Saccharomyces cerevisiae S288C: one gene and its partners. The gene in region 3 interacts genetically with the main gene of each other region. Each region holds a gene or a part of one and is shown on either strand. Other genes may lie near its edges.

Region 1 (9,368 bases), on a different chromosome or scaffold from region 3:
TGATTACGATGATTATGGAGATGATGATGACGATCTTTACGATAATAGCAATAACATATCTGATTCTACCGACATGACATCAAGCGTCAGCATAGGAAAGCCGGAAGATTTACCCATGCCTCTACAAACAGACACCCCTTATGGAACAGGAATTCCACCACTAGGTCCAAAAATTCACTCACCCACAGAAACAGTATACAAACCAGCGCCCAATGAAAAATTAGTTAACGAATCAACAATACACGCTTCGTTAGGGCGGGTTGTCAATATATTATTCGGGAAAGATGTCAGTTATATTATGGCCATTTTAAAAGCGCAAAAGAATAGTGATATTTCGCCAATCCCTGTTCTCGTTGATTCACCCACGGTTTCTGAAGGTAAAAAGAGAGATTATTCCTACGTAAAAACAACACCAGGTGCCATTGGACCCGGTAAAACTAAATGCATGATAACTGAAACCATTCAACACTTTAACTTAGAGGAGTATGTTCAAGTCTTGCAAACAACAAAAACTCCGGATGTTCCTTCTGGAAATTCATTTTATGTGAGAACAGTTTATCTTTTATCATGGGCAAACAACAATGAAACAAAACTAAAACTGTATGTCTCTGTTGAATGGACAGGTAAAAGCTTGATCAAAAGTCCTATTGAAAAGGGTACATTTGATGGTGTAACGGATGCAACAAAGATATTGGTGGAGGAGCTTGGTAATATTTTAACAAGATCTGCTACCAAAAGGAAAAGGTCTTCGAAGGAGAACACTGTTACAGTATCAACTTTACCGAAAATGGAACCTAGCTCACATGCACCTACCGAGCCTGATATTCAAAAGGATAAGGATGACTCTATTATAAGGGAAAATGAGAATATACCAGCTCCATTAGGGACCGTGGTCCAATTGCTATTTGGATCGAATACAGAGTATATGCAGAAAGTTATCACTAGAGATAAGAATAATGTCAATGTGGAAACGATACCAAAATTCACGCCTTCGTTGGTTGAAGGAGGTTCAAGACACTATGAGTACACGAAGAAATTGAACAATTCTATCGGACCTAAGCAAACAAAATGTTTACTAACCGAGTCTATTGAACACATGGATATCAATAACTATGTTTTGGTGACACAAACAACTAAAACTCCAGACGTCCCCTCTGGTAGCAATTTTGCAGTAGAAAGTAAAATCTTTCTATTCTGGGGGCAGCATGACACCACGAATATGACCGTTATAACAAAAATCAACTGGACAAGTAAATCATTTTTGAAAGGTGCAATTGAGAAAGGATCTGTTGAGGGTCAGAAGGTTTCTGTCGATTACATGCTATCCGAGTTAAGAGACATTATTAGCAGGGCAAAAAGCAAAAAACCGGTGAAGAAAGTAATGAAGAGTCATGATAAACATAGGCCTTTCCATAGTAAGGTTGAACAGAAAAGTTCCGAAAGCCGTAAGAGCGATGATAATAAAGACATTTTAACTCATATTTTGGATTTCGTTCAGAATAATTTTAGTTCAGAAATTTTTATGAACAAATTGCTGAGTCCTCAAAAACTATTCTTGATCTTGGGGTTGACCATTATGCTTTTCTGGTCTCCTCGGCTTCACGTGTTTCAAGAAAAAAATAATCTTCAAATCATCAAGCCAGGAAGGCTGCTGATTGATGGTCAAGAATATAATTACGTGCCCAGTTTCGGCACACTGTATAACTCATATGAAAACGCCATATCATCTAAGAAGAAGAGAGAAAATGTAAATTACGCAAGGGATAAGAGTCCTATTGTAGGAAGGGAAAGCGATATTTGGGATTGGATCAGTAACAGAGGGAGTGCAATATCACCTCGAGGTCGTGCTATGTTGAGAAACGATGACGAACACAAATTGCAGCAATTATCAGAAAGTATCAAAATAACAGAAATGCAACTAAATCATATGAAAACTATGTTGGACAACATTGAGAGGGACGCAAATGATCTATCTTAATAGCATTTTATATATTCTGTTTGTATTATTTAGTAATTGTATCTAGTACATATCCTGTAGCGGTTGGCCTGATTCCTTTTAAGTTAGATGACAGGCACACTTTGCATTATCACATCAGACGGAATTGTTCTGCCTAATGGCGGCTATTCTATTTCTGCTTCATAAATGCAAAGACAGAGTATAAGAATAATTTTAAATTAAAAGCAATGGTCTTATCCTTGCCATAAACAGAAGACAACTTGCAAGTATGAACTATTTGGAAACACAGTTAAATAAAAAGCAAAAACAGATACAGGAATACGAAAGTATGAATGGCAACCTGATAAAGATGTTTGAGCAATTGTCTAAAGAAAAGAAAAAGTATGTAGCTATTTTTTCCAGTCGGCAAAAATCGGTATAACAAACAAAAAATATTTAGTTTCTGTTATTAACAGAACTTGTCAAAGTGATGAGACACCAAAAAAAATTTCCTCGACGTACATTAAAGAGTTAAAGGAGTACAACGAATTGAGAGATGCCGGTTTAAGGTTGGCCCAAATAATTGCTGATGAAAAGCAATGCAAAATTAAGGATGTTTTTGAAGAGATCGGTTATTCAATGAAGGACTAATGGGCTTTTAGGGACAGTTCTATTCTTCCAACGTGCGAAGCGTTCCAATGAAACTCTGCTGCGCGCTGAAAACTATATAAAAAAAAAAAAAGATAAAATTACAAAGAAGTAATGAACTTAAATGCTATTATACAGTTACTAATTAAGCTGCGTAGTGTGAAATATATTGATAGTTGTAGTTTTGAGGTTTTATTACCCTCTGTTATATAATAGGTTTTCGCTATTTTATTGCCGAAAATCAAGACGGAGCGTAAGCCTCTTCGGGCAATACCTTCGACTATTCCAACAATAAAATTTAAAAAAAGAGATTAATCACATAGTAACAAGAAATAAACGAAAAACATATCATAGGAGATCAATGAGCCAACTTCACATAAACTAACAGTGAAAAGTCTATAACAATATTAATTTTACACAATTAAATCTACACTATAACTGGCACTGTTAATAATCGGTAATCTGCTAAGTAACTTTTTTTTCTCATTCACAAAGCATCGTTTTCCTCTTCCCCACGTCCATTATCACTTTTCTCCATATCACCCTTCATACACATTAAAAAAACAGCATATCTGAGGAATTAATATTTTAGCACTTTGAAAAATGCGTCTACTTCGAAGAAACATGTTAGTATTGACACTGCTCGTTTGTGTGTTTTCATCCATCATTTCATGCTCAATCCCATTGTCGTCTCGCACCTCAAGGCGGCAGATAGTGGAAGATGAAGTTGCCTCCACTAAAAAGCTCAATTTCAACTATGGTGTGGATAAAAATATAAACTCGCCCATTCCTGCTCCAAGAACCACTGAAGGTTTACCAAATATGAAACTCAGCTCATATCCAACTCCTAACTTATTGAATACTGCTGATAATCGACGTGCTAACAAAAAAGGACGTAGGGCTGCCAATTCTATAAGTGTACCCTATTTGGAGAATCGTTCCTTGAACGAACTGAGTTTATCAGATATACTAATCGCAGCCGACGTTGAGGGTGGACTTCATGCTGTAGATAGAAGAAATGGTCATATCATATGGTCAATCGAACCAGAAAATTTTCAACCTCTGATAGAAATACAAGAACCTTCGAGGTTAGAAACATATGAAACGTTGATTATAGAACCTTTCGGTGATGGGAACATTTACTACTTTAACGCCCATCAAGGGTTACAAAAACTGCCTTTATCCATACGACAACTTGTATCAACTTCCCCGCTGCACTTGAAAACAAATATTGTGGTTAATGACTCTGGAAAAATTGTTGAAGATGAAAAGGTCTACACTGGATCGATGAGAACTATAATGTATACTATAAACATGTTGAATGGTGAAATTATATCAGCGTTCGGACCTGGTTCAAAAAACGGGTATTTCGGGAGCCAGAGTGTGGATTGCTCACCTGAGGAGAAGATAAAACTTCAGGAATGTGAAAATATGATTGTAATAGGCAAAACTATTTTTGAGCTGGGAATTCACTCTTATGATGGAGCAAGCTACAATGTCACTTACTCTACATGGCAGCAAAATGTTTTAGATGTTCCCCTAGCGCTTCAGAATACATTTTCAAAGGACGGCATGTGCATAGCGCCTTTCCGTGATAAATCATTGCTAGCAAGCGATTTAGATTTTAGAATTGCTAGATGGGTTTCTCCGACATTCCCCGGAATTATTGTTGGGCTTTTCGATGTGTTTAATGATCTCCGCACCAATGAAAATATACTGGTACCGCATCCCTTTAATCCTGGTGATCATGAAAGTATATCGAGTAACAAAGTTTACTTGGATCAGACTTCGAACCTCTCCTGGTTTGCATTATCTAGTCAGAATTTTCCATCTTTAGTCGAATCAGCTCCCATATCAAGATACGCTTCCAGTGACCGTTGGAGGGTGTCTTCAATTTTTGAAGATGAGACTTTATTCAAGAACGCAATCATGGGTGTTCATCAGATATATAATAATGAATATGATCACCTTTATGAAAACTATGAAAAAACGAATAGTTTGGACACTACGCACAAATATCCACCTCTGATGATTGATTCGTCCGTTGATACAACCGATTTACATCAGAATAACGAGATGAATTCACTAAAGGAATACATGTCACCAGAAGACCTTGAGGCATATAGAAAAAAGATACACGAGCAAATATCGAGAGAATTAGATGAAAAGAACCAAAATTCTTTGCTACTGAAGTTTGGAAGTCTAGTATATCGAATTATAGAGACTGGAGTATTTCTGTTGTTATTTCTCATTTTTTGTGCAATACTACAAAGATTCAAAATTTTGCCGCCACTATATGTATTATTATCCAAAATTGGATTTATGCCTGAAAAGGAAATCCCCATAGTTGAGTCGAAATCGCTAAATTGTCCCTCTTCATCGGAAAATGTAACCAAGCCATTCGATATGAAATCAGGGAAGCAAGTTGTTTTTGAAGGTGCTGTGAACGATGGAAGTCTAAAATCTGAAAAAGATAACGATGATGCTGATGAAGATGATGAAAAATCACTAGATTTAACCACAGAAAAGAAGAAGAGGAAAAGAGGTTCGAGAGGAGGCAAAAAGGGCCGAAAATCACGCATTGCAAATATACCAAACTTTGAGCAATCTTTAAAAAATTTGGTAGTATCCGAAAAAATTTTAGGTTACGGTTCATCAGGAACAGTAGTTTTTCAGGGAAGTTTTCAAGGAAGACCTGTTGCGGTAAAGAGAATGTTAATTGATTTTTGTGACATAGCTTTAATGGAAATAAAACTTTTGACTGAAAGCGATGATCACCCTAACGTCATACGATACTACTGTTCAGAAACAACAGACAGATTTTTGTATATTGCTTTAGAGCTCTGCAATTTGAACCTTCAAGATTTGGTGGAGTCTAAGAATGTATCAGATGAAAACCTGAAATTACAGAAAGAGTATAATCCAATTTCGTTATTGAGACAAATAGCGTCCGGGGTAGCACATTTACATTCTTTAAAGATTATCCATCGAGATTTAAAGCCTCAAAATATTCTCGTTTCTACTTCGAGTAGGTTTACTGCCGATCAGCAAACAGGAGCAGAAAATCTTCGAATTTTGATATCAGACTTTGGTCTTTGCAAAAAACTAGACTCTGGTCAGTCTTCATTTAGAACAAATTTGAATAACCCTTCTGGCACAAGTGGTTGGAGGGCCCCAGAGCTGCTTGAAGAATCAAACAATTTGCAGTGCCAAGTCGAAACGGAACACTCTTCTAGTAGGCATACAGTAGTTTCATCTGATTCTTTTTATGATCCGTTCACCAAGAGGAGGCTAACAAGATCTATTGATATTTTTTCTATGGGATGTGTATTCTATTATATCCTATCCAAAGGGAAGCATCCATTTGGAGATAAATATTCACGTGAAAGCAATATCATAAGAGGAATATTCAGTCTTGATGAAATGAAATGTCTACATGATAGATCCTTAATTGCAGAAGCTACAGATCTGATCTCCCAAATGATTGATCACGATCCGTTAAAAAGACCTACTGCTATGAAAGTTCTAAGGCATCCGTTGTTTTGGCCAAAGTCGAAAAAATTGGAGTTCCTTTTAAAAGTTAGTGATAGGCTTGAAATTGAAAACAGAGACCCTCCAAGTGCCCTGTTAATGAAATTTGACGCCGGTTCTGACTTTGTAATACCCAGTGGAGATTGGACTGTCAAGTTTGATAAAACATTCATGGACAACCTTGAAAGGTACAGAAAATACCATTCATCAAAGTTAATGGATCTATTAAGAGCACTTAGGAATAAATATCATCATTTTATGGATTTACCTGAAGATATAGCAGAACTAATGGGGCCGGTACCCGATGGATTTTACGATTACTTCACCAAGCGTTTTCCAAACCTATTAATAGGTGTTTATATGATTGTCAAGGAAAATTTAAGTGACGATCAAATTTTACGTGAATTTTTGTATTCATAACATGTTCATGCCCCTCTGCTTCTTCTTGGTTGATTATTGCATTAATGTTACTTTGATCATTAGTAGTAACCATCCATAATTTTTACGCCCTTGCATAAATGAAAAAAAGTTGTACTTCTTCATGAACCTATACTACTTTTCTCATCCCTACATAAACTACCCGACAGACATTTAATTTTATAAATACATATCTCATAAACATCGAACATCGACATACTACTCCAGTTATTCAACACTGACTTTTTTGGTGGAAAGCTTTCGTTCTGCAATTCTTATGCAAATAAAGGTAAACACACATGCAAAAGCGTAGACTTCATCAAACCAAGAATCTATGACAATGTTTGGGACGGTAAACTTTCCACCCAATAGCTCCTTTAATCTTTGTGATACTTCAAAAGGGAGATGGGACCTAACCATTAGCGTTGTAGCCAAAACGTAGACGCCAGTCAACTCTGACACCACCAGATTTTTTATCAAAGATATTCCTTTTTGTTCCTGAGAATAGTTTCTCTTTTTTCCCTTATAGGAAGAGTTATTGGTGTACTCTGGAAGTACATTAGCAGTGTCATCATTCTGCATGGCGAAAAGTGCAAGAATCTGGAACTTTATGGGCAAAAGGGTCACAACGTAGGAGATGGTGGTATTGACAGCAGAAAGACAGCAAAGAAAGAGAGAAATTGACAAAAATAACGATATCTGTTTTGTTAACGAATCGAGATCGTGCTGGTAATTGAACCTGAAAAACGAAAAATCCAAAATATTTGCTATCGTAATGGCTAAAGGATCGGATGCTGCATTTTCACTAAAATTTTCATAATCGTAGTCATCTGGATATTTGAGCGAGTGGTATATGATATAGGGGATTCTTTTCAGGAAAGTTATTATTAGTTTATGAAGACAGTATATGATAAACCCGACTTCAAAAGCTTTCTTAAAAGTGCGTACCTGAGGGGACTGTTGTAATAATGCTTCCAATTTCCCAAGCTCCAGTTGATACCAGGCGATTTTTTCCATCAACTCTGCTTTAAAAGTTGAGTTTTCTCCGACCTCTTCTTCTAAACTTCTTAATATTTGTACATTTTGTTCAATGTTGTGTTCATAATCTTGGATTTTTTCCTCTATATAGGCGTCTGTTGTCCATAAGAGAGATTTACTGTTATTGTTGCTGTTGTTGATGTTTCTAAAACTGGGGTCTGACATTGGTGTATTACGAAACTTGTGCCAGATGACTAAAAAGTTGTAGTATAAACTAGAAACAGTGGCTAACCCAGATAGGGAAGCCATGACTGTGACGCCTCCGATGGACAATCTAGTTAGAATATTTTTTGTGTACTGGAACGGTCCAATATTTATGTAACTTAACAGCGCAATAAGTGTGGACAAGATTATGCATGTCACTATTATCAACCTATCGATATCGAACTTGTCATTGTAGAATTTATTCAGTAACGATATTATAATGAAAAAGGGCTGAAATAAAATTAGTATGAAGGATAGCATGATTGCAGTCAGAGGCCACACCCAAGTCGTTATGAAAGTAACTTCCTTGTCCATTCCAGCAACCTTAATCTGCCATAGAATAATCTCTATGGTTACTGTATACGTCATCATTGCTAATGAAAAAAGGACTCGCAGTGATTGCAGTACCTTATGTGAGGGTAAAGAATACTCTGTGTAGAATTTATTTATGAAATTACCCATACTAGACACATCCTCATTCGAGCCAACTTCCATTTTGCTTGCCAACGGAATGACATTTTTCTTCGAGGAAGTTGATATAATGTCAAACAAAGACCCTACTTTAAACCAGAGCCTTTCATAGGAGCATTTGTAAGCAAATGCTCCGGATACGGAAAGCACTATAAATACGATAAGTGCCTCCATCCCGTCCACCACTTAGTCTACACTCAATAGTCCTTTCTAGTGCAGGTCCTGGAGGCAACCGCCAGAGTTGAGATCTTTTCCTTTTCTTTCCCTGCTGGTCAATTTTTATTGTTCAGGACTCGGTCATCGCAGATATCGCAATTTTTCACTCGTTTGAGTCTAGACTGTAAAATAAAACCGAATGGTTAAGCTAAAATAGACTCTGTATGACTAAGTCGTTCACTAAAGTTCATTATTTCATGCCTGAATGACCTTTATCTTAATTATGCACCATCATATAGCGTTTCTATGATCACTACGGGATATTATGATATTGTTAGGGGGTTATATTGAATATTTCTTAGGGCATGAGGATGATATTAGGGTTATTAATAGGTTTACAATTATATAATTTATGTGATAATTATCACTTGATACGAATTGATGGAGCCTGCTTCTTTTTTTTTTTTTCACTTTCTTGGCAGTCACTGAAAAACTGCATTCGAATACAGGTTTGAGAAACTAATGAGGCCCATATTACTTTACAATGAACAGTAACAATCAACTTAAATGCTTAAATAATCTAATATTGTATCTGCATTGATAATACATTGGACAGAAATTATGGACGTATGTTTGATTTATCTTACTGTGGCCAGATCGGCCTTTCAGTACTTCTAAGGTTTTATACTAACTTCTTTTATTGATCGTTGTAAACTACGGTAACAATTATGTATCAACAGGATGGACGGAAAAAAGAATTGCATGATTTGAACACCCGAGCTTGGAATGGCGAAGAAGTCTTTCCCCTGAAAAGTAAAAAACTGGATTCCAGTATAAAGAGAAACACTGGCTTTATAAAAAAACTAAAGAAGGGTTTTGTGAAAGGTTCAGAATCTTCATTATTGAAAGATTTAAGTGAGGCGTCCTTGGAAAAGTACCTATCAGAGATAATAGTGACGGTAACAGA
Region 2 (8,588 bases), 330 kb from region 3:
AGTTCATCTGGGAGCGGCGGTACCTGTTGTTGTTGCTGCTGCTGTTGCCTATGTAGGGACTCATGTGTCAGCACCTGGACGAAGAATTCTGTAGCAAACGCTGTGGCTACGAATGCGTCATCCGAAGTGTCCATATATTCTGGATCATTCTTGGCTATTCTCTGCACTTTTTCTACAGGTAACTTGGGCGAACACAGAGGTGCAGACGCCGTTTCTTTACCACTAGTCTCGTTGTTCATTGTGTTAGCCTGATCACATCGAGCGAGCTATCCTGACGCTATTCTCTCTTGTTTCTTCTGTTTTGTTTCTCTTACATTTTTCATTTTTTTCTCTAGTTGGAAAAAAAAAAAAACACTATATTAGAATACGCACATTGTTAGCGCTGTTCTTTCAATTGTCATCTATATATTTACAAGGGAATACACAAAATCCTGGTTTTTTTAAGGTCTGGGAACCATGACATAGGAGGAGGGTTTCTTCGTCTTCTTTGGCAATGACGAAGAGTAGACCTCCTTCAAAAGTGCCTGCGTCCTTTCGTTTTCGAGTGCCTCATCATAGGGAAGGGACATTTCCTTGAGTAAGACCTGCTTGATGAGCATAATTTCACCATGTAGCTGCGCTTCTGCTTTAAACTTGGCCACTTTGTGAAGATTCTGCAATGTGAGTGGGTTATGAGGTAGCTGGTTGGCGTCATCGTTGATGACTGACTTGACTAACAGCCACATCTTTAAATTGCCCCTGTTCACCGTATGCGATTCGGACATCACGGGAGAGTCGACTAGTTCCAAGACGGATTGCGGCGCTGAGTCGTTAGCCCTAGGCTCTAACCGCAGCACACGCGTGTACCCACCGGGCCTTTCCAAGTACCGCGGTGCGATCTCGCTGAACAACCGCTTCATCAACTTTCTGTTGTCTCCTGCTAAAAACAATTGGCTCTGAATTTGGGACTTTAATTCCGCCTGTGCAACACTATTACTTGTCGTTATTGCCCTCTTTGTCCAGGTAATGATCCGCTCTGCGACCCTGGAAGCCTCTTTACATTTGGCATGCGTTGACACTATAGATTCATGCTGAAACAACTGGCACGCAAGGTTTTTTAGCAGCGCATCCCTATGCGCCTTGTCCCTAGAGAGTTTCCTAGCAATACCCACTGTCATTGTTGCGCTCGACTGTGCTTCTCACCGTTTTTTCTCCTTGGCGTAGCCAAATCTCTTGACCGTTATAAGCTGTTTTAGCTTGTCAAATCCCACTTGTTCTTGTTAACCAACTTTTCCCGCCTCGTACGCGGTGACAGACAAAGCAGTGATTTTTGCTCATTGTATAAAGGGAGTCTTTACTATGGTGGCATAAGCAACAATACTACGTGAGCAGCAACGAAAGCACATATATAGACGACAAAGTAGTATGGTTTTGAATCCGTCCAAGTACCAAGACACCCGCACGTGGAAGATGACGCCTGCCATGATCAGGGCCCGTAAACCCTTTTTCAAAGGCAATATGCTCGGTCTCACGCTGCTGCTGGGTGTCACGGGCTCTGTTTACTACTACACATATCATTTTCTGCACAAGGACAACGACTTTGCAGACGTGCCCATTCCACCCATCGATCCGCAGGAGCTCGAGGCTCTCAAAAAGGAGTACGAAGCCAAGAAGAAGGCATGAAAAGACCGTTAATGTGGAGGTACGCTGTGGTCTTCCATCAATAGGCTTTGCGCTGTTCTTCTCTCCTCTTTTGTAAATAGTTTACCTACTTGCGTATATGTATATATATATATATATAGATATGCTTATACGGATATATACATACATTCTGTTTGTTTATACTCTTTGTCCTACTCTAACAGCCAGCTCTTTAGTTTAAGAATATGATGAAAAACTCAGTTTGGGAAAAAAAAGGAAAATGTTAAAGTATAAACAATATCGAAATAAGTTCATCTACCACGCACACTTCACCAAGTTAGCAAGATGAACTTGAAGCAGTTCACGTGCCTATCATGCGCTCAATTACTCGCTATTCTGCTCTTTATCTTTGCTTTTTTCCCTAGAAAAATCGTGCTGACAGGTATATCAAAGCAAGATCCGGATCAAGACCGTGATCTCCAGCGCGATAGGCCCTTCCAGAAATTGGTGTTTGTGATCATTGATGCTCTCAGATCAGACTTTCTTTTTGATTCGCAGATTTCCCACTTCAACAACGTGCACCAATGGCTCAATACGGGCGAAGCATGGGGTTACACGTCATTTGCTAATCCGCCTACCGTGACGCTGCCTAGACTCAAAAGTATTACTACGGGATCTACACCTAGCTTCATTGACTTGCTGCTGAATGTAGCCCAGGACATAGATTCCAACGATCTTTCGGAGCACGATTCCTGGCTGCAGCAGTTCATCCAACATAATAACACGATTCGTTTCATGGGCGATGACACCTGGCTGAAACTGTTCCCACAGCAATGGTTTGACTTCGCTGACCCGACACACTCGTTCTTTGTCAGTGATTTCACTCAAGTCGATAATAATGTGACGAGGAACTTGCCCGGGAAATTATTTCAGGAATGGGCCCAGTGGGACGTGGCTATCCTGCATTACTTGGGTCTTGACCATATCGGGCATAAAGATGGCCCGCATTCAAAGTTTATGGCTGCTAAACATCAAGAAATGGACAGCATTCTGAAGTCAATATATGATGAAGTGTTGGAACATGAAGATGACGATGATACACTGATTTGTGTTCTTGGCGACCATGGAATGAACGAACTGGGCAACCATGGTGGCTCTTCAGCCGGCGAAACATCAGCAGGATTGTTGTTTTTGTCACCTAAGCTGGCGCAATTTGCTAGGCCAGAATCGCAAGTAAACTACACATTGCCCATCAACGCTAGTCCGGACTGGAATTTCCAGTATTTAGAGACTGTTCAACAAATTGATATCGTCCCCACCATAGCAGCACTGTTTGGTATGCCAATCCCCATGAACAGTGTTGGGATAATAATACCTGACTTTTTACAACTGTTGCCCAATAAGTTGGCAAGTATGAAAGAAAATTTTATGCATTTGTGGAAATTATCAGACCATCACGGCGAGGTTGCTCTTGACGATTTCACTGCCGAAGATATTTATACAAAGATGTACACTATTCAAGAAACGTTAACCAAGTCTGCAACAAATTATAATTATCCTCTTTTGACACTGGCTTTTGTTGGTTTCCTCATAATAACAATCATCGCCATTTATGTATTATTACGTTATTCTGGGCCTGATTTTTGGCAGTTGCGCGTTTCTTCCCTGTCTGTTCTGTTAGTTTCCATTATACTAGGCGTTTCCACATTTGCAAGTAGTTTCATTGAAGAGGAGCACCAACTGTGGTGGTGGATAGTAACTGCATTCTCGGCGGTCCCTCTGTTCGTATACCGATTGAATGTGCTCATAATCGTGCGCTGGTTTATAATGATGGCATGCGTACGCTCAATCAAGTTTTGGAATAACAGTGGCCAGAAATTCATTTATTCTAACGTTATGTCCAATCTACTTAATCAGAATCCTTCCTGGAAGTGGTGCTTAAATATGTTGACATTTCTAGTGCTGATAATGGCATCTGCTGGTTTTCAAGTACTACATTTTATTGTCACTACTATTTTGGTGGGGTTGTGTTTCACGTACAAAATCTCGTGGGAAATCGTCAATGGTAACCAGGCAGAAATACCGCTCTTTATGCATGATTTACTGGCTAAGATAGACTTTGCACCAACTGAAAGTAACTTGATTGTACTTGCGCGCGTTTTCTTCCAAGCTTGGGCTATTGTTGTCATTTCAAGGTTGGTCCTGACGAAATTGAAAGTACTTAACAAGAACTACCTCATTAAAGATATGAAAGTTTATATAACAATTCTTTTGATGTTCCAAACTTCTTCTCAGAACATAGGTCAATTTCTCGTTTTCCAAATATTAGAGTCCCAAATTTTTTACTTTTTCCAAAATATTCCAACCGCCTCATTAACATCAACAAGTAAGATTTATTTTTCGAATTTGGTGTCCTTAATTTTACAAAATTTTACATTTTTCCAATTCGGTGGCACAAATTCCATTTCTACTATAGACCTTGGAAACGCATACCATGGTGTTTCCTCAGACTACAACATCTACGTAGTGGGGATATTAATGTCCGTTGCCAATTTCGCGCCGGCAATATACTGGTCCATGCTACCGTGGTCAATAAACTACGCCTCTATTCCAGCACAAGTTAAGTTGCAAACGTTCATCAGAAGTAAGTTACCTGCCTTCACCTATCATTGTATATTTGGAACTTGTTTGATGACGGCATGCGTCGTTTTGAGATTTCATCTCTTTATTTGGTCCGTTTTCAGTCCAAAATTATGTTATTTTCTTGGGTGGAATTTTGTGATGGGATTGCTGAATGGCTGGTTACCTGAATTGGCCCTCCTTTGCGCTCTTGATTAACATAGAATTGTTCACGTGGTCTAAATATGTATACATATATGATAGTTTATAGATTCATACTGAGACAAGTGAAAAAAAAAAAATCTACTATCGACCTTCTCTCTTTTCGCGGCAGCAAAAATGAAAAATTAACTTCAATAAAAAAGTTGAATACTTTCAAATATTCTAATTGCATTTAATATTTAAGCAACAAAAGGACAGCGATAATTGAGTGGTGGCTTAATTCTATACTCCAAAGTATGTCCCAATCTAGTAGGTTAAGTGCACTTCCTATTTTCCAAGCATCGCTTTCGGCAAGCCAATCTCCACGTTACATTTTTAGTTCTCAGAATGGCACAAGGATTGTTTTCATTCAAGATAACATAATAAGGTGGTACAATGTACTCACTGATTCACTTTACCACAGTTTGAACTTTAGTCGTCATCTCGTCTTGGATGATACCTTCCATGTAATATCTAGTACGTCTGGTGACCTACTCTGTCTTTTCAATGACAACGAGATTTTTGTAATGGAAGTTCCTTGGGGCTATTCCAACGTTGAAGACGTTTCCATTCAAGATGCATTCCAAATTTTCCACTATTCAATTGATGAAGAAGAAGTTGGTCCGAAATCGTCCATTAAGAAAGTTTTGTTTCATCCAAAGAGTTATCGTGATTCTTGTATAGTGGTTTTGAAAGAGGATGACACTATCACGATGTTTGACATCCTTAATTCGCAAGAAAAGCCTATCGTTTTGAACAAACCGAACAACTCCTTTGGTTTAGATGCACGTGTTAACGACATCACAGATTTAGAATTCAGTAAGGACGGATTGACGTTATATTGTCTAAACACCACAGAAGGCGGTGATATCTTTGCATTTTATCCATTTTTACCGTCAGTATTACTGTTAAATGAGAAAGATCTCAACTTGATCCTAAACAAATCTTTAGTAATGTACGAGTCCCTGGATTCTACAACAGATGTTATAGTTAAAAGGAATGTTATTAAGCAGTTACAGTTTGTGTCAAAACTGCATGAAAATTGGAATTCAAGATTTGGCAAAGTCGACATACAAAAGGAATATCGTTTAGCCAAGGTTCAAGGACCATTCACGATAAACCCCTTTCCCGGCGAGCTGTATGACTATACTGCTACAAATATTGCAACCATACTAATTGATAATGGGCAAAATGAAATTGTTTGTGTCAGTTTTGATGATGGGTCTTTAATCTTACTCTTCAAAGATTTGGAAATGTCAATGTCGTGGGATGTTGACAATTACGTGTATAATAATTCTTTGGTTCTAATTGAACGAGTCAAACTACAAAGAGAAATTAAGTCTCTAATAACGTTACCTGAACAGTTGGGAAAACTTTATGTCATTTCCGATAATATTATACAACAAGTAAATTTTATGAGCTGGGCTTCTACATTGAGTAAATGTATCAACGAATCGGATTTGAATCCACTTGCAGGATTGAAATTTGAAAGTAAACTTGAGGATATTGCCACCATAGAAAGAATTCCAAACCTAGCGTATATCAACTGGAATGACCAATCTAATTTAGCCTTGATGTCGAATAAAACATTGACTTTTCAAAATATTTCAAGCGATATGAAACCGCAAAGCACCGCAGCTGAAACAAGTATCAGTACAGAAAAAAGTGACACGGTAGGAGATGGTTTTAAAATGAGTTTCACACAGCCCATAAATGAGATTCTTATTTTGAACGATAATTTTCAAAAAGCCTGTATTAGTCCATGTGAACGAATTATCCCATCAGCAGACCGCCAGATACCTTTAAAAAACGAAGCTAGTGAAAATCAGTTGGAAATTTTCACGGATATTTCCAAAGAATTTTTGCAAAGAATTGTTAAAGCTCAAACTTTGGGTGTTTCTATCCACAATAGAATTCATGAGCAACAGTTCGAATTGACGCGCCAACTACAATCGACATGCAAAATAATTTCAAAGGATGATGATTTAAGGAGAAAATTCGAAGCACAAAATAAGAAATGGGATGCACAACTAAGCAGACAGTCAGAATTAATGGAGAGATTTAGTAAATTGAGCAAGAAGCTATCTCAAATCGCCGAATCCAATAAATTTAAAGAAAAGAAAATAAGCCATGGTGAGATGAAATGGTTCAAAGAGATACGAAACCAAATATTGCAATTCAACAGCTTTGTTCACTCTCAAAAATCCCTTCAACAAGATTTATCGTACTTGAAGAGTGAACTAACTCGTATCGAGGCAGAAACTATCAAAGTCGATAAAAAGAGCCAAAACGAATGGGATGAGCTACGCAAAATGCTTGAAATAGATTCAAAGATAATTAAAGAATGCAATGAAGAATTGTTACAAGTTTCTCAGGAATTTACTACTAAAACTCAATGAGTAAGCGACTTGCATAGTCTGCTATCATATATGTACGCTAAGAAACAACTGGGCAATGGTATAATATCATGTAGCAAGAGGACATTATATATGAATTGGTCAATATATAAAGCCTTCTGTGCACCAAATCGTTAGGATGATTTTTCAGTATGCTGTATCATTGTATCGTATATTCATTCGTATCTCTTTTACCTCACTAACCGCTGCCAAAATTTACATGTATACAAAATAAAAGTCTTTTTTATGACCTTATTTGGTGAGTAATGCTACTTTTGTAAAGAGTGATGGAAACTATTATTCCAAAGGGTTAGAAGAAGGTGAGGAATACGTTCATATCACCGCTACAGATCGTGTCTCTCGGTTATGAGTAATCAAACCCTCTGCAAGCAACACAGTTACTTTTTTTCGGTTTTTTCTTTTCGTGTGAATTTTTATCCAGTGAGTTTCCTTGTTCACTTTCGAGAATGGAAGGCTGATTTCGAATTTTTATATTCAACAACTGTATTTGTATTAGGCTTTGCAATAGTAGATGAAAAGTGCAGAAGACGAATCTGCTACCCTCACAATACAAAGAAAAACAAAATCGTCATTTTAATATAGGAAGACACCGCTCAGGTAATTCAATATTGAATCTGGTTGCACTTTTCTTACGATGTAAATACCCACAAACTTCTTGTACGGTGAGCGTCTGACAACGAAATCAATTTACGGAGCAAGGATTTTGACAGTAGAGCAGATTGTTTTGAGTAGGATTTAGGAATCAAGACCTCCATCTTTGTCGCATTATTCCTAAATGTAACGTAACTCGTTTGATAAGAGAATGTCTAATCGAAGAGAGTTAATAACTTAATAAGCTCTTTAAAAGAACGATGGCATTTATCGTCTCCTATGCCAAGATAATTACTGGCTCAAAATTGTTCAGCGTTCATAAAACTTTGATATCACTTTCTGGCGCACAAGCTAACCTTTATGTAGTTCTTACGTAGATTCTTTTTAGCAAGTGCCTGGTAGTGGTTATTACATAAATGTATCTTTTCATTTGATAACAATTTCTTCAGTAGCATGTCGTGTCTAGCACGTGACGTAGAACTGTGGCTTTTTTGTTGTCATTATGACAATCAAGATACCAAAATTCAGTCATGTTTAAAAGGGGAAGGTACGATAGAGATATATATAAAGTGTTCAATTTACTATAATTGCGTATAGAATCCATTGTTACTTGCTCTCAATGAAACAACGATTCATTCGTCAATTTACGAACCTAATGTCTACTTCGAGACCGAAAGTTGTTGCCAACAAATATTTCACTTCTAACACTGCCAAAGATGTTTGGTCGCTAACCAATGAAGCCGCTGCAAAAGCTGCCAATAACTCCAAAAACCAAGGCCGTGAACTTATTAATTTAGGCCAAGGCTTTTTTTCATATTCCCCTCCTCAATTCGCCATTAAGGAGGCTCAGAAAGCCCTAGACATTCCAATGGTCAATCAATATTCTCCAACTAGAGGTCGACCTTCATTAATTAATTCCTTGATTAAGTTGTATTCTCCTATTTATAACACAGAATTGAAAGCGGAAAATGTTACCGTAACAACAGGTGCCAATGAAGGTATACTTTCTTGCTTGATGGGGCTTTTGAACGCTGGCGACGAGGTTATTGTTTTTGAACCTTTCTTTGACCAATATATTCCAAATATCGAACTTTGCGGTGGTAAAGTTGTTTACGTCCCCATAAATCCTCCAAAGGAATT
Region 3 (6,458 bases):
CCCTAGGTGTAACCAGAAGAGATTAGGAGGGCTTAGGGCCAGTATTTTATCTGATGTAGGGCAAACGAGTAAAATGTGTAGGGTATGGGCTAATATCAAGGGCTTCGGACTTACTGCCCCGCTCACAGAAACAGCCGCACTAATTAATTTCTTTTGTGTAACGTTAAAGTAACCCTGGAATCATCATTGAAAAATTATCATCCCAAGAGACAGAGATGTGCATGTTGACAACGCAGGCTCAATGTAGAATAAGATCTGACTACTTAGTCAATTTTACCTCTAGATCATATTAACTAATCTCATCTTGCACAAAAAACGTATCACTATCATGGAGGAAATTCCTGCCCTGTATCCAACGGAACAAGAATTCAAAAATCCGATCGATTATCTCTCTAACCCCCACATTAAAAGGCTTGGTGTACGATATGGTATGGTCAAGGTCGTACCACCAAACGGGTTCTGCCCGCCACTTTCTATTGATATGGAAAATTTTACTTTTCAACCAAGAATTCAAAATCTGGAGAACCTAGACCTGAAAAATAGGTGTAGGCTATTTTTTATGAAACAGTTAAATAATTTTAAAAGATCCGTTAAGGATCCATCGAAACTTATACTTAGGGAACCTTATACGATTGTAGAATATTCAGATTCTACTCATGCATCGGAAATACTAAAAAAAAAAGTGTACTTTTATGACGTTTTCTCTGAACTAATAAAAGACAATCGGACACTTACTGACACTACACAGTCATTCAGGCGAAAATTGAAATTTAGAGATATTTCCCAATTAAGAGGCGACATCAGTCTATGGAGGACCATTTCTAAAAAATTCAACGTACCAATCGGCTTGTTAAAGGAAATTTTTGAGAAATATATTGCCTCATACTACATATTTCTTCATTCACTGAACGAGAACGTGCACACGGCGCTGCATGCTGACCAGTATCCAAAATCCTTATTAAGTGATGACGAGGACGATTTCGATCTTGGGCCAGATTCGAATTCTGGGTCGGATTTTGAGGAGGACGATGATGATGCTTGTATTGTTTGTCGCAAGACAAATGATCCAAAAAGAACAATTTTATGTGATTCATGTGACAAACCATTCCATATATATTGTTTATCACCACCTTTGGAACGTGTTCCCTCTGGCGATTGGATTTGTAACACTTGTATCGTCGGAAACGGATATTACGGATTCACTCAGGACACGCATGACTATTCTCTACCAGAGTTTCAAGAATATTGTAAACGTCAAAATTCAAGGTTATTACCAGCACGAAAACTGTCTATAGATGAGTTGGAAGAGATGTTTTGGAGCTTAGTGACCAAGAATCGTCGCAGTTCATTAACGACAGTTAAATACGGTGCTGACATACATAACGAATTGCCAGGTCAAATTACCGGCTTTCCGACGAGAGAATTTATACCCAAAAATATAAATGGGGACGAATTGATAGACTACCTCAAATATTGCGATCATCCTATGAATTTAACTAACTTGCCTATGGCTCATAATTCGCTATTACCGTTATTTAAAAGAAATATTTCTGGCATGACTATTCCTTGGATTTACATAGGCTCCTTATTTTCCACATTTTGTTGGCATATGGAAGATCAGTATACCCTAAGTGCTAACTATCAACATGAAGGTGACCCTAAGGTCTGGTACAGCATTCCCGAATCGGGATGTACGAAATTCAACGATCTATTAAATGATATGTCACCAGACTTATTTATCAAACAACCAGACCTACTGCATCAGCTAGTGACTTTAATATCTCCGTACGATCCAAATTTCAAGAAATCAGGTATTCCTGTGTACAAAGCTGTGCAAAAGCCCAACGAATATATTATCACGTTTCCTAAATGTTACCATGCTGGTTTTAATACAGGTTATAATTTTAATGAAGCTGTCAATTTTACTATAGATTTCTGGCTACCATATGGATTTGGTGCGATTACGGATTATAAATTAACTCAGAAAGCATGTGTTTTTGATATGTTTGATTTAATGATCAATGTTTTGGACAAGTACAATAAAGATACTCTATTGTTCAATGATGCTTTTGTTAGGCAATGTTACTCTTCATTGATCGTCTTTTATAATACTGAATTAAAACGCATACGGAAAATTCAGGCCATTGTACCACGGACAACTCTTTTGGAGGTGCATACTGATCCAAACGATGAAGATGAGGAATACGATATATTTTGTTCCCAATGTAAGACTATATGTTCAATAGCCTTTGTATTGCGAAAGAATAACTATGATTCAATTAGAACGTATAAAAGACACAAGAAAAACCATTTAAGTATTAGGCAGTGGAATGAACTATCCACGACGGACAGTAAAGTGAGTATCCTGTGTACGCAGGATTACTTAAAATCAATACAAAACTTGAACAATAGCGACGGTGAAGAACCTTATATTGACGATGAATTGTATTTCACTAAGTCTTTGAAGGATATTGACTCTTTAATAAAGCAAGTTGGTGTTAAGTTAGATAGATAGTCTTCAATATTTGTGTATGGCGTAATGATTTTTTAGAATAATACTTGGCATTTAGCACGCCACTTTTAGCGCGAAAACACCAAAAAAGTAAAGAAAATAATGTCGATCAATCTTTAAAGAGAGACAATTGAATGGTAGTGTAACAATTTACAACATAATAGAGTATCGCATTCAGCAAAAGTAAAGAATAAATTCTAAGAAAATGGCTCAAGCCTTGAACTCCACCAATATTGCTTTTTTCAGAGTAGCATTTTTATTCACGATCGCCTTCTTTTGTTTAAAGAACGTTAATTCTATTTTGCAAAATACATATTTCATAGTCTTAACGCAAGCGATGAATTTACCGCAGTTAACACTGTCACGTTATAGTGGTCAATTGGGTCTTTTCGCTCTTCTGTTTACTCTTAACGGTGTTCATGATCTAATTCCCCTGTTAGAAAACAATGTTAAATACTTCCAATCTGTTGTGCCAGTTAGATTACTAATTTTTTTTATTTTGACAAGTATCTCGTACCTTTGGGAGTCAAACTTTTACGTTCACAATAACTCTGTTTTTATTTACTGTTTTGCAGAAGTTTGGATAAATTTTCTTTTGTATAATGCCATTAGGGAGGAGAAAAATGAAGAGTTCAAAAGATTGAACCAATTCATGGTTAATGATGAGGATATTGAAGAACCCCAACCATTTACCGTGAAGACTGAAACCACAGAAATCATTGAAATAATCAATGATGAAGAAAATGACGATGAAGATGGGAAAGATAATGATGATAACAATGAGAAAGGTAATGATGATAGCGATGCAAAAAAATAAAATGTTTAATCGTTTATTTTTTCTTTCCTTTATTCTTATAGTAGATACCTGTGTATGTATGTAGATATAGACATAACGAAGCTGAATTTAACGGTACATGCTAATATGTGTACTCTATAGATTAGTTTTTCTTCTTTTCACTAACATAGTCTAGAGCGGTCAATCTTTCAGCTAGAGTTGGATGGGAATAATGATAGCTAGAATACAGAGGATCTACATTCATGGTGGAAAGGTTTTTGATTTGTAGATCAATTAGAGCCCTACATAGATTTTGCTTGTAGCCCAATTTTTTAGCATAAGCATCAGCTTGATATTCATGAGTTCTGGAAATTAAACTCATCACGAATTGCATGGCACATTCGAGTGGAGTTAATAAGTCGTTAAATAACATAAATCCAATGATAATGGGGAATTCCTTAGTGATAACGGGATCAACAAAACTGCCAGTGGACTTCTCTAAGAAAAAGCCGAAGGTGTTGTAAAATGATGTATTTCTGTAGATGCTGGTGAAAAGGGAGAAAATGAGGAAGGTGTGCAATTGACTAAAGATGACCATATTAACGATGTGGTTTTTTTGCCAGTGACCGATTTCATGGGCCAAAACAGCCGTAATTTCATCAGTAGAATTACTGTTCACTAAAGTGTCGAACAAAACAATTCTCTTGGAGGTGAATGGCAAACCTGTGAAATATGCGTTTGAATGAGAAGATCTTTTTGAGCCGTCAATGACAAAAATCTTATCTAGAGGGAACCCAACTCTATCGGCCAAACTTTCAATAGATTTTTTCAGTTCACCGTCCTCCAATGGAGTGAACTTATTAAACATGGGCATGATGAAGACTGGAATGATTGTCATGGCTAAGATTTGGACAACGAACAAGAAGACCATAATGTACCAAAGGAAATCAGTAGGGAATTTATCAAAGATCTTAAGGAACAGGTAAAGGATTGGGCCACCAATAGCATACGCCAAAGTCAGACTCTTGATCATATCGGTGATCCATAGTTGGACGGTCAATTTATTGAAACCAAATTTTTCTTCCAGGACAAAATGGCTATAGTAAGAGAGTGGCAAATCAACCAAGGTAGACAAACTGGATAAGAGACCCAAGAAGCATAAACTCTGTGCGACAGTGGAGACCATATGAAATCTGACTGGCAGGACTGCATTCAATAAAGAAACGGCCATGTGCCAGATTTTAGGGAAGAGGTCGTATTTGATGAAAACTAGCTTTTGGGCTAGGTTATAGACGTCACCGAAAATGGAGAACTTGGCCTTGGCCCGGGAGTAGTTCCTTGATTTATGAAAAGTTTCATCATCAATTTCGTCTTCCAGCACAGGTGGCAACTTTGTTTCAGATAGCTTCTGGTACTGTCTGTACGTCAAGTAAGATTCGAAAGAAAATTGGGCAATCGAGAACCCAGAAATGATTAATTTCCACGGGATATTAGGATGGTCGAGAATCGTCTTAAGATCAAACATGAATAAAGGCCTGCAGTTTTCTATTTCCTCCTTTTTTTTCCTTCCTTTTCCTGTTAATTATAGAAGTGGTTTATAATTCGCGAACTTTTTCTCTTGTTCGTTGTCTTTTTTTTTTTATTTCCCGTCGATTTTTTTCTGGAGAAAATGGCAGAACAGAGACGAAGGAATTAGAGTTTTTGAGTAAATGACGTAGAAAAAGAGGGAAAAGTTTAATTGCCTCTTTTTGGTTAATAGGAATGAATATACAAGTTTACATATATGTATATTTGTATGTATGTATGTAGATGTATGTGTGTGTGTGTGTAAGGCGTTTCGTTGTTGAAGATAGAAAAAAAGGTAGGTTTAGTCTAGCTTCGACGTTGGGGCTGGTTTTGCAAGTTTCTTGGCGATTCTAATCATCTTCTTGAACCAAAGCACGTTCAAAAGGTTCATGAAAATGTTCAGCGACATCATCGTGACAGCAGAAAACTTGGGTAACTCGTCTCTTACCTTCCACATCTGCCTGAATAAGAGAGCGGATGCGATGGAGCCCCAGCAAATCCTGACGACGAAAAACACAGTCATGAGCAAAAGGCCATTGACGACATTAAACCACAGAGGGATAGAGTTCTTGCTCTTGGCGTTACATTGCATGATGAACCAATTGATGTTCACAAAGGGAGTGGAGGCCTCGTAGATAAGGAACCTGCCGATCCAGGGTTGGCAGAACGGTCTTAAGGACAACAGCATCACATATACGGAGCCAATGGCGTGGCCCGTGAACTCGAGACCATAAAGCTTGAAGTAACGCACGCACATAGTCAAGTCCCAGATAAAGTACCCTGCGCTGAGGGAAGATACCATTGAACTGTACGAATCTGTGTAGGTGACAACATTATAATGCATTGGCGTCGTGAGGGTGGGCAACAGGACGGTGTTCGAGACGACAGCCTGGATCATCGAGACGGTGTGGACATTGAAATCAATTTTCAGCAGTGGGTCACGGATCGTGGTGTAGTGCTTGCGAAAGACCACTTTATTCAAGAACGGTGCGACAACGGAGAATGCGAGCTGGTAGAAGACGAAGCTGAAGATGATCTCATGCAAATGAGCCAGTATTAAATTAGACGAATGAGGGAAGAAGGACAGCTTTTCGAAGGGGCTGGTGAGGCCGATTGCTGTCGTGGTAGAGTTGGCGTTCATTGCGGCAAGAGCGATAGCTTAAAAATATTGTTTTTTTTTTCTCTTTTATTAAACTATGTTTTATACTGTTATGTTGCGTTGAGTTATGTCAAAATATTATGTTGCCTTGTATGTTTTTGGACCCGACAAAAACACAGGCTGAAAAGAAACACGTATGTATGTATATGTATATAAACATATGTGTGCATATATAAGTGCACGTATAGAAATAATATGCGATAAAAGTCTATTGTTCCTGGCTCATAAAACCTAGGAACTGAACGAGTTTTTTTCTTTGGTGATTCTGGCGTGATTCAACATTCGTATGCGATGACGGGCAGATCCGCGTCGTAAAAATGTTCTTAAGAAAGGAAAAGGGGAAAATGCATGCTAATCACATAATGCTAATGGGCCGGATGTTATTAGTGAGAGGAGAAGAGTCGCTGGATGCTGGGGAAGCGGAATGAGCTTCTGCAGTAGAAGAA
Region 4 (6,633 bases), on a different chromosome or scaffold from region 3:
CCTCTTTTGAAAACAACTCCAATTGATTTAGAAATGCCAATTTTATTTGGTAAGCCTCCAAAGATGTCAAGAGAAACCATAACTGAAGCACTAAATCTACCAGAGGCAAATTTGAGCGAAATTCCTTCCCTACAAGATGCTATTCAAAGAGTTCTAAACTTACCATCTGTTGGCTCAAAGTCATTTTTGATTACTATTGGTGACAGATCCGTCACAGGTCTAATTGATAGGGATCAATTTGTTGGTCCTTGGCAAGTACCTGTTGCGGATGTCGGTGTTACCGGTACCTCTTTGGGTGAGACAATAATTTCCACAGGTGAAGCCATGGCTATGGGTGAAAAACCAGTTAACGCCCTAATCTCCGCATCTGCTTCCGCTAAATTATCTGTGGCAGAATCTTTATTGAACATATTCGCTGCTGATGTGAAATCTTTAAATCATATCAAGCTATCTGCTAACTGGATGTCTCCAGCCTCTCATCAAGGTGAGGGTTCTAAGTTATATGAAGCCGTTCAAGCATTAGGTCTGGATTTATGTCCTGCATTAGGTGTTGCTATCCCTGTTGGTAAGGATTCCATGTCCATGAAGATGAAATGGGATGATAAGGAAGTTACTGCACCATTGTCATTGAATATCACAGCATTTGCACCAGTTTTCAACACTAGTAAAACGTGGACTCCATTGCTAAATAGAAACACAGATGATTCTGTCCTTGTCTTGGTTGATCTATCAGCTAAACAAGAGACTAAGTCACTAGGTGCCTCTGCTTTGTTGCAAGTTTACAACCAAGTTGGTAACAAGTCGCCTACTGTGTATGATAACGCCATTTTGAAGGGTTTCTTGGAAAGTTTAATCCAATTGCATCAACAAAAGGAGGATATAGTGCTTGCCTACCATGATAGGTCTGATGGTGGTCTACTAATCACTTTACTGGAAATGGCATTTGCTTCCAGATGCGGCTTAGAAATCAACATTGACGGTGGAGACCTAGAAAGTCAATTAACAAACCTATTCAATGAAGAATTAGGTGCAGTATTCCAGATTTCTGCTAAGAACTTGAGCAAGTTCGAAAAAATCTTGAACGAGAACGGAGTTGCTAAAGAATATATTTCTATTGTTGGTAAGCCATCCTTCCAAAGCCAGGAAATCAAGATTATTAACTCCACAACAAATGATGTAATTTACGCCAATTCGAGATCTGAATTGGAGCAAACTTGGAGTAAGACATCTTACGAAATGCAGAAATTGAGAGACAATCCAAAAACAGCCGAAGAAGAGTTTGCCAGTATCACGGACGATAGAGATCCCGGTTTGCAGTATGCCCTAACATACAACCCAGCCGATGATATGAAGATCGGATTAGAATTATCCAGTCAAAGGCCAAAGGTTGCTATCTTAAGAGAGCAAGGTGTGAACGGTCAAATGGAAATGGCATGGTGCTTCCAACAAGCTGGATTCAACTCAGTGGATGTCACTATGACAGATTTGCTAGAAGGTAGGTTCCATTTGGATGACTTCATCGGTCTTGCCGCATGTGGTGGTTTCTCTTATGGTGATGTCTTAGGTGCAGGTGCGGGTTGGGCTAAATCCGTATTGTATCACGAAGGTGTGCGCTCGCAATTTTCTAAGTTCTTCAATGAAAGACAAGATACATTTGCTTTTGGTGCTTGTAATGGTTGTCAATTCTTGAGTAGATTAAAAGATATCATACCCGGGTGTGAAAACTGGCCAAGTTTCGAAAGAAATGTTAGTGAACAATATGAAGCCCGTGTATGTATGGTGCAAATATCTCAAGAAAAGGACAATTCTAGCGAGGAATCTGTTTTCTTGAATGGCATGGCAGGATCCAAATTGCCAATTGCTGTCGCACATGGTGAAGGTAAAGCAACATTTTCTAAAAGCGCTGAACAACTGGAAAAGTTCGAAAAGGATGGTTTATGTTGTATAAGGTATGTGGACAACTACGGTAACGTCACCGAAAGGTTCCCCTTCAACCCCAATGGGTCGACCAATGGTATTGCCGGTATCAAGTCACCAAATGGTAGAGTGCTTGCCATGATGCCACATCCTGAAAGAGTTTGCAGATTGGAGGCCAATTCCTGGTATCCAGAGGGCAAATACGAAGAGTGGGGTGGATACGGTCCATGGATTAGATTATTCAGATCTGCCAGAAGATGGGTCGGTTGAAAGATTTTTGTAGTTTTTGTATATGTAGTTTTTAAGTTTGAATAATAATTAGAAAGAAGCTGTCTTTTATTTATAGCATTTAATAATGGGTTTGCTTGTTAAAAATTTATCATAAATAGTATGTATATATATATATATATATATGGATATGTATACGTGGTAATGAACGTGTATACATATATTTAAAAGATTGCAATATAGTTTTTAGAATTAACCTGAATTAATTTAAAAATCATATATTAAAATAAACAATTGTGAAGGTAAAAAGAAAGAGTTAGGGGAGGTCAAACAAAGTAAAAAAAAAAAAAAGGAAAAAAAGCGGTTCGAAATTTATTTCATTTTATACGTTTTTTTGTTGTTTTTCTTTTTTTTTTTTTTGAAGTATGTTTCTTCTCTTAGTTAGTCTTCTTTTGAGCATTGTTTTCAGCTCTCTTCTTCATTCTTTCTTCTCTGGAGGCCTTAGCTTCTGGACCAGATTCAGTGTCTAGACAGTAATCCCACCATCTGAAAGAGGAAGCGTAGTTACCAATAAAGTAGTGATGATGCAAATCGTGGTGTTCAGCGCCAGCCCAGAATGGCATGATCTTGTTCAAAGACCATGGGAAGTCATAACCAGAATGAGAGTCAACAGCTTGGAATAATCTTAGGGTGATCCATACACATAGAGTGAACAAGTGTAATTTACCAGTGTACATGACGTAAAGAATTGGCATACCAACGGTACCAAAACCCAAAGACAAAGTTTCAGCAGGATGAGCATATTCAGCAGAAAGACCGAATGGAGCAGCGTATCTGTGATGTTGCTTGTGAATGTACTTGTAGAAGACACCGTAGTGGAATAGACGGTGAGCCCAGTAATGCCATGTATCTTCCAAGACGAAGAATAGACCAATTTCTAGAGCCATTGTTTTCAAAGATGGGAATGGAACTTCGACAGTAATACCTAATTTTTCACACATTGGGTGGAAGGTCCAGATAGGGATGGCCTCGACCAAGAAATGAGATAGAAGAACGGATTTCAAACAGTATAGTTGTTCCTTAGCACTTGGAATCTTAGTTGGTTGTAACTTCCATCTTCTAAAGTATGGAATTTGGTCGATGATGAACCATGGCAAACATCTAAAGAAATACATAAATTCATGCAATAAAAAGAACATTAGACCGGTGGCCAAAACATCATTGTTCATGTAACTGTACCATGCGGCCCAGTATTTCTCCATGAAATTCAATTGAGGTTGGTAATGGGCGACATTTTGCAAAGTTTGTGAGTAGGTGCTTGCTTGGACTAGACCTGAAAGGGTAGCGTTGTTGAAAACGGCAGACATCTTTTCCTCTTTTTTTTATGGCTGTACTACTTTTCCTTAGTCCTCTATGCTACTATCTAAAGAGAAAAAGTTACAACTAATATAAAGATTTACTGGAAGGAAAGAAACGAAGAGAGAGAAAAAAGGGAGAGAAGAAGAGAAGAAGAAAAAAAAGAATAGATCCTCCTGTATTATATATTATATAGAAGTATGCATACACAGGCGTACGCATACAAGAAAATGTACATGCATAACGGATTAATCGTGTGTATATAGTTTAAACTGCGCAGAGAATGAATAATAATAATACGACCACAGCAGAGGCGAGGCAAGCAAGAAAAAAAAAATTGGTGGGAAAGCGATGCGATACGGTGGCAAAGGGCCTCTTCCTCGACGGTTTTGTGCCAGGTGCCTTGAGGTTGCTGACTGTTATCGGTCATTGTTAGTTGCTATTGTCCTAGTGCTAGTCGTTTACCGTATACGATCTCTGTGTCCCGTATACGAAGGGAGGCAGTGGTAGTGGCAGTGGCCGTTGCGGAGCTGGCTAAACGACATCTGGGCGTAAACGACACCCGATAACTGGCTCTGCTCTTTCCTGCGAGATGGTTCTATCGGACCAAGGCCCAAACGGGTTTAAACGGCTGCCCTCCGCACCCGCACGTGACTACACCGGGTAACGAATGGATTGCGTAATATACCGATTTTTACTTTTTACACTTTTTTGTTTCCTATACGACGCGGACGAAGAGAAAGTCTTCTGCGCCAAGGCCGAAAAGAAAAATTTGAAGAAAACATTCTCAGATGCGAATCTACTTTTACATCATCTTCTACGTAGGCCCTTTTTTAGTTCCTTTTTTTTTTCTCCCTCGGTCTGTTTAATCATAGTAAAATCAGATATTGTCAAAAATTGTATTCATTGAATGGAGAGTACTTAAACTTCACATCCTAACATTAGAGATGCCAGAAAAAACATATAGGTATAAGTGAAATCATCATTATGATAAACGAGACGGATGAAAGGAGAAAAAACTGAAAAGAAAAAAAGGGCGGATTGACAATTCAAGAAAAAGGCAAAAAGTAAAGGAAGGTAACATCACTTGATATCGCACCCTTCTTTGCATTGCCTTGTGGTTACCGTACCACTCTTGCTTATGATTTTTTTTTCTTTTTGCGCGCGCTAGGCTGAAATGTAGAGGTTCAAGGTATGATAACAGCGGACAAAGGTATATGATGTCGCGCATTTGATGCCTTAAATACAATTTTTTTTTTTCCCTCCTCCGTCGAAAAAACGCTGTGAAGAATAAAAAAAAATTGTATTTTGTATTACCCGGATTTACTTTAGTCTCACATTGTATTGTTAGGGTTTTGCTACTTATGGTAAAACTGCCGCTAAAAAAATATTCATTTCTATCCTAATTGTATTTTTATTATGTAGAGCAAAGCTTGCGCGAAATTATTGGCTTTTTTTTTTTTTTAATTAATACTACCTTTTGATGTGAACGTTTACTAAAGTAGCACTATCTGTGGAATGGCTGTTGGAACTTTTTCCGATTAACAGCTTGTATTCCAAGTCCTGACATTCCAGTTGTAAGTTTTCCAACTTGTGATTCAATTGTTCAATCTCTTGGTTAAAATTCTCTTGTTCCATGAATAGGCTCTTTTTCCAGTCTCGAAATTTTGAAATTTCTCTGTTGGACAGCTCGTTGAATTTTTTCTTAGCTTCTAATTGTCTAGTTATAAATTCAGGATCCCATTCTGTAGCCACCTTATCCATGACCGTTTTATTAATTATTTCATAGCACTTGTAATTTTTGAGTTTGTTTTCCTCGATTTCATCGAAGTTCATTTCTTCCTCCAAAAATTTCCTTTGTTCTTCCGTTATGTCAACACTTTTCGTTGTTAAGCAATCTCTGGCCTTTAATAGCCTAGTTCTTAGCATTTCAGATCTGCATTTTTCATAATAATCCTCGGTACTTTCTACAAGATCAATTAAATTCCAATCAAAAATCGTCTTTTGCAAGATTTTGAAGTCACAGTACTTTTCATTTTCAATGTCAACAGCGCCCCATTTGTATTGTCTTCCTTTAACTTTTTCGCCCTTTTCATTAAAAATGTACTCATTAGATGCAATTATACTGAATGGATATTTTTGAAAAATATCTTGTGTTGCATTCAAAACTTCATCGCCGAAAAAGAAACATACAGGGATATCTTGTACTCTTATTATTTCTCTAACTTGTGTTTTGAAGTTTTTCAATTCCTCTTTCGTTAGCAAATCTGATTTAGCAATAACCGGGATTAAATTCACTCTCTTCGCTAATTTTTTCATTGTTACGACGTCTAAAGTATCAATTCCCTTATTTGAAGGTCTCAGAAAGTACAAACAACAATGGACTCTATTATCAACCATTTTTGTCCTATCAGGTTGTTCTTCTTGGAAAATGTACGATCTTATTTCTTCATCAATATAGTTAACCATTGTCCTCCACGTAAATGCATTATCCATATTGTTACCAAAACCAGGTGTATCGATGACGTTGAAATTAAGGTGTGTTCCATCTCCTTCTACAATGCTTTTATAACGAATAATAGGTTTGTTTTCTTTGATGTCATCATCAATTAAAGAAGTAGAAAATAAGGAATTGATAAACGTGGTTTTACCCAATCCACTTTGACCCGCCACCATCAGCGTAAAATCAATTCCATTTTTGGCATTCAACAACTCACGTTGACGTGGTAAGTTTTTGATACCGATGTCTTGGCCGTGTGAATTGGTGTTTATTTCTTGTGCTTTCTTGTTATCTAACAATGGAAGGTCCCTGTTCCTGCATTTACCGTTAACAAAAGAGGATGACCTCTGTCTTCTGTGTTTCAGTTCAGGGCTTTTCGGAGGATGTGAATCGACGGCGTACTGTCCTTGGGAACTTTGTCTACGTATTTTCACTTCCTCAGCGAATCCAGAGACTATCTTGGGAAATTCGACAGGACAGTCTGTTGACAACCGACTCCCTTTTGACTTCATAATAAAAATTCAATGACGCAAAAGGAATTTTAGGTTTTTATTATTTATTTATTTATTTCTGTTAATTGATCCTTTTCTTTCCACTACCAACAACAAAAAAGGGGGGAAAAAGATGTATAA

What was found.
Region 1: mutations in STE24 (region 3) and IRE1 together harm fitness more than expected from each alone (negative genetic interaction), as found in Saccharomyces cerevisiae (5 studies listed by BioGRID, with this or other methods).
Region 2: mutations in STE24 (region 3) and LAS21 together harm fitness more than expected from each alone (negative genetic interaction), as found in Saccharomyces cerevisiae (5 studies listed by BioGRID).
Region 4: mutations in STE24 (region 3) and ERG25 together harm fitness more than expected from each alone (negative genetic interaction), as found in Saccharomyces cerevisiae (5 studies listed by BioGRID).

What each region holds. Positions count from the first base shown.
Region 1 is NC_001140.6:255,411-264,778, reverse strand, and holds IRE1 (bifunctional endoribonuclease/protein kinase IRE1), read left to right. Parts: upstream 1-3,187; coding exon 3,188-6,535; downstream 6,536-9,368. Other genes in the region: LAM4 (Lam4p), read left to right, coding at 1-1,978; SAE3 (Sae3p), read left to right, coding at 2,226-2,338, 2,425-2,587; YHR078W (uncharacterized protein), read right to left, coding at 6,761-8,419; NMD2 (Nmd2p), read left to right, coding at 9,023-9,028, 9,142-9,368. UniProt on the Saccharomyces cerevisiae protein: Senses unfolded proteins in the lumen of the endoplasmic reticulum via its N-terminal domain which leads to enzyme auto-activation.
Region 2 is NC_001142.9:315,319-323,906, forward strand, and holds LAS21 (mannose-ethanolamine phosphotransferase LAS21), read left to right. Parts: upstream 1-1,965; coding exon 1,966-4,458; downstream 4,459-8,588. Other genes in the region: DLS1 (Dls1p), read right to left, coding at 1-239; mitochondrial 54S ribosomal protein bL17m MRPL8, read right to left, coding at 441-1,157; COA3 (Coa3p), read left to right, coding at 1,405-1,662; linker nucleoporin NUP82, read left to right, coding at 4,698-6,839; BNA3 (kynurenine--oxoglutarate transaminase), read left to right, coding at 8,068-8,588. UniProt on the Saccharomyces cerevisiae protein: Ethanolamine phosphate transferase involved in glycosylphosphatidylinositol-anchor biosynthesis. Transfers ethanolamine phosphate to the GPI second mannose.
Region 3 is NC_001142.9:640,361-646,818, reverse strand, and holds STE24 (zinc metalloprotease), read right to left. Parts: upstream 4,813-6,458; coding exon 3,451-4,812; downstream 1-3,450. Other genes in the region: JHD2 (histone demethylase), read left to right, coding at 329-2,515; ILM1 (Ilm1p), read left to right, coding at 2,718-3,329; TDA4 (Tda4p), read right to left, coding at 5,155-5,994; YJR115W (uncharacterized protein), read right to left, coding at 6,368-6,458. UniProt on the Saccharomyces cerevisiae protein: Proteolytically removes the C-terminal three residues of farnesylated A-factor mating pheromone. Also acts to cleave the N-terminal extension of the pheromone. Does not act on Ras.
Region 4 is NC_001139.9:607,443-614,075, reverse strand, and holds ERG25 (methylsterol monooxygenase), read right to left. Parts: upstream 3,513-6,633; coding exon 2,583-3,512; downstream 1-2,582. Other genes in the region: ADE6 (phosphoribosylformylglycinamidine synthase), read left to right, coding at 1-2,187; septin SPR3, read right to left, coding at 4,975-6,513.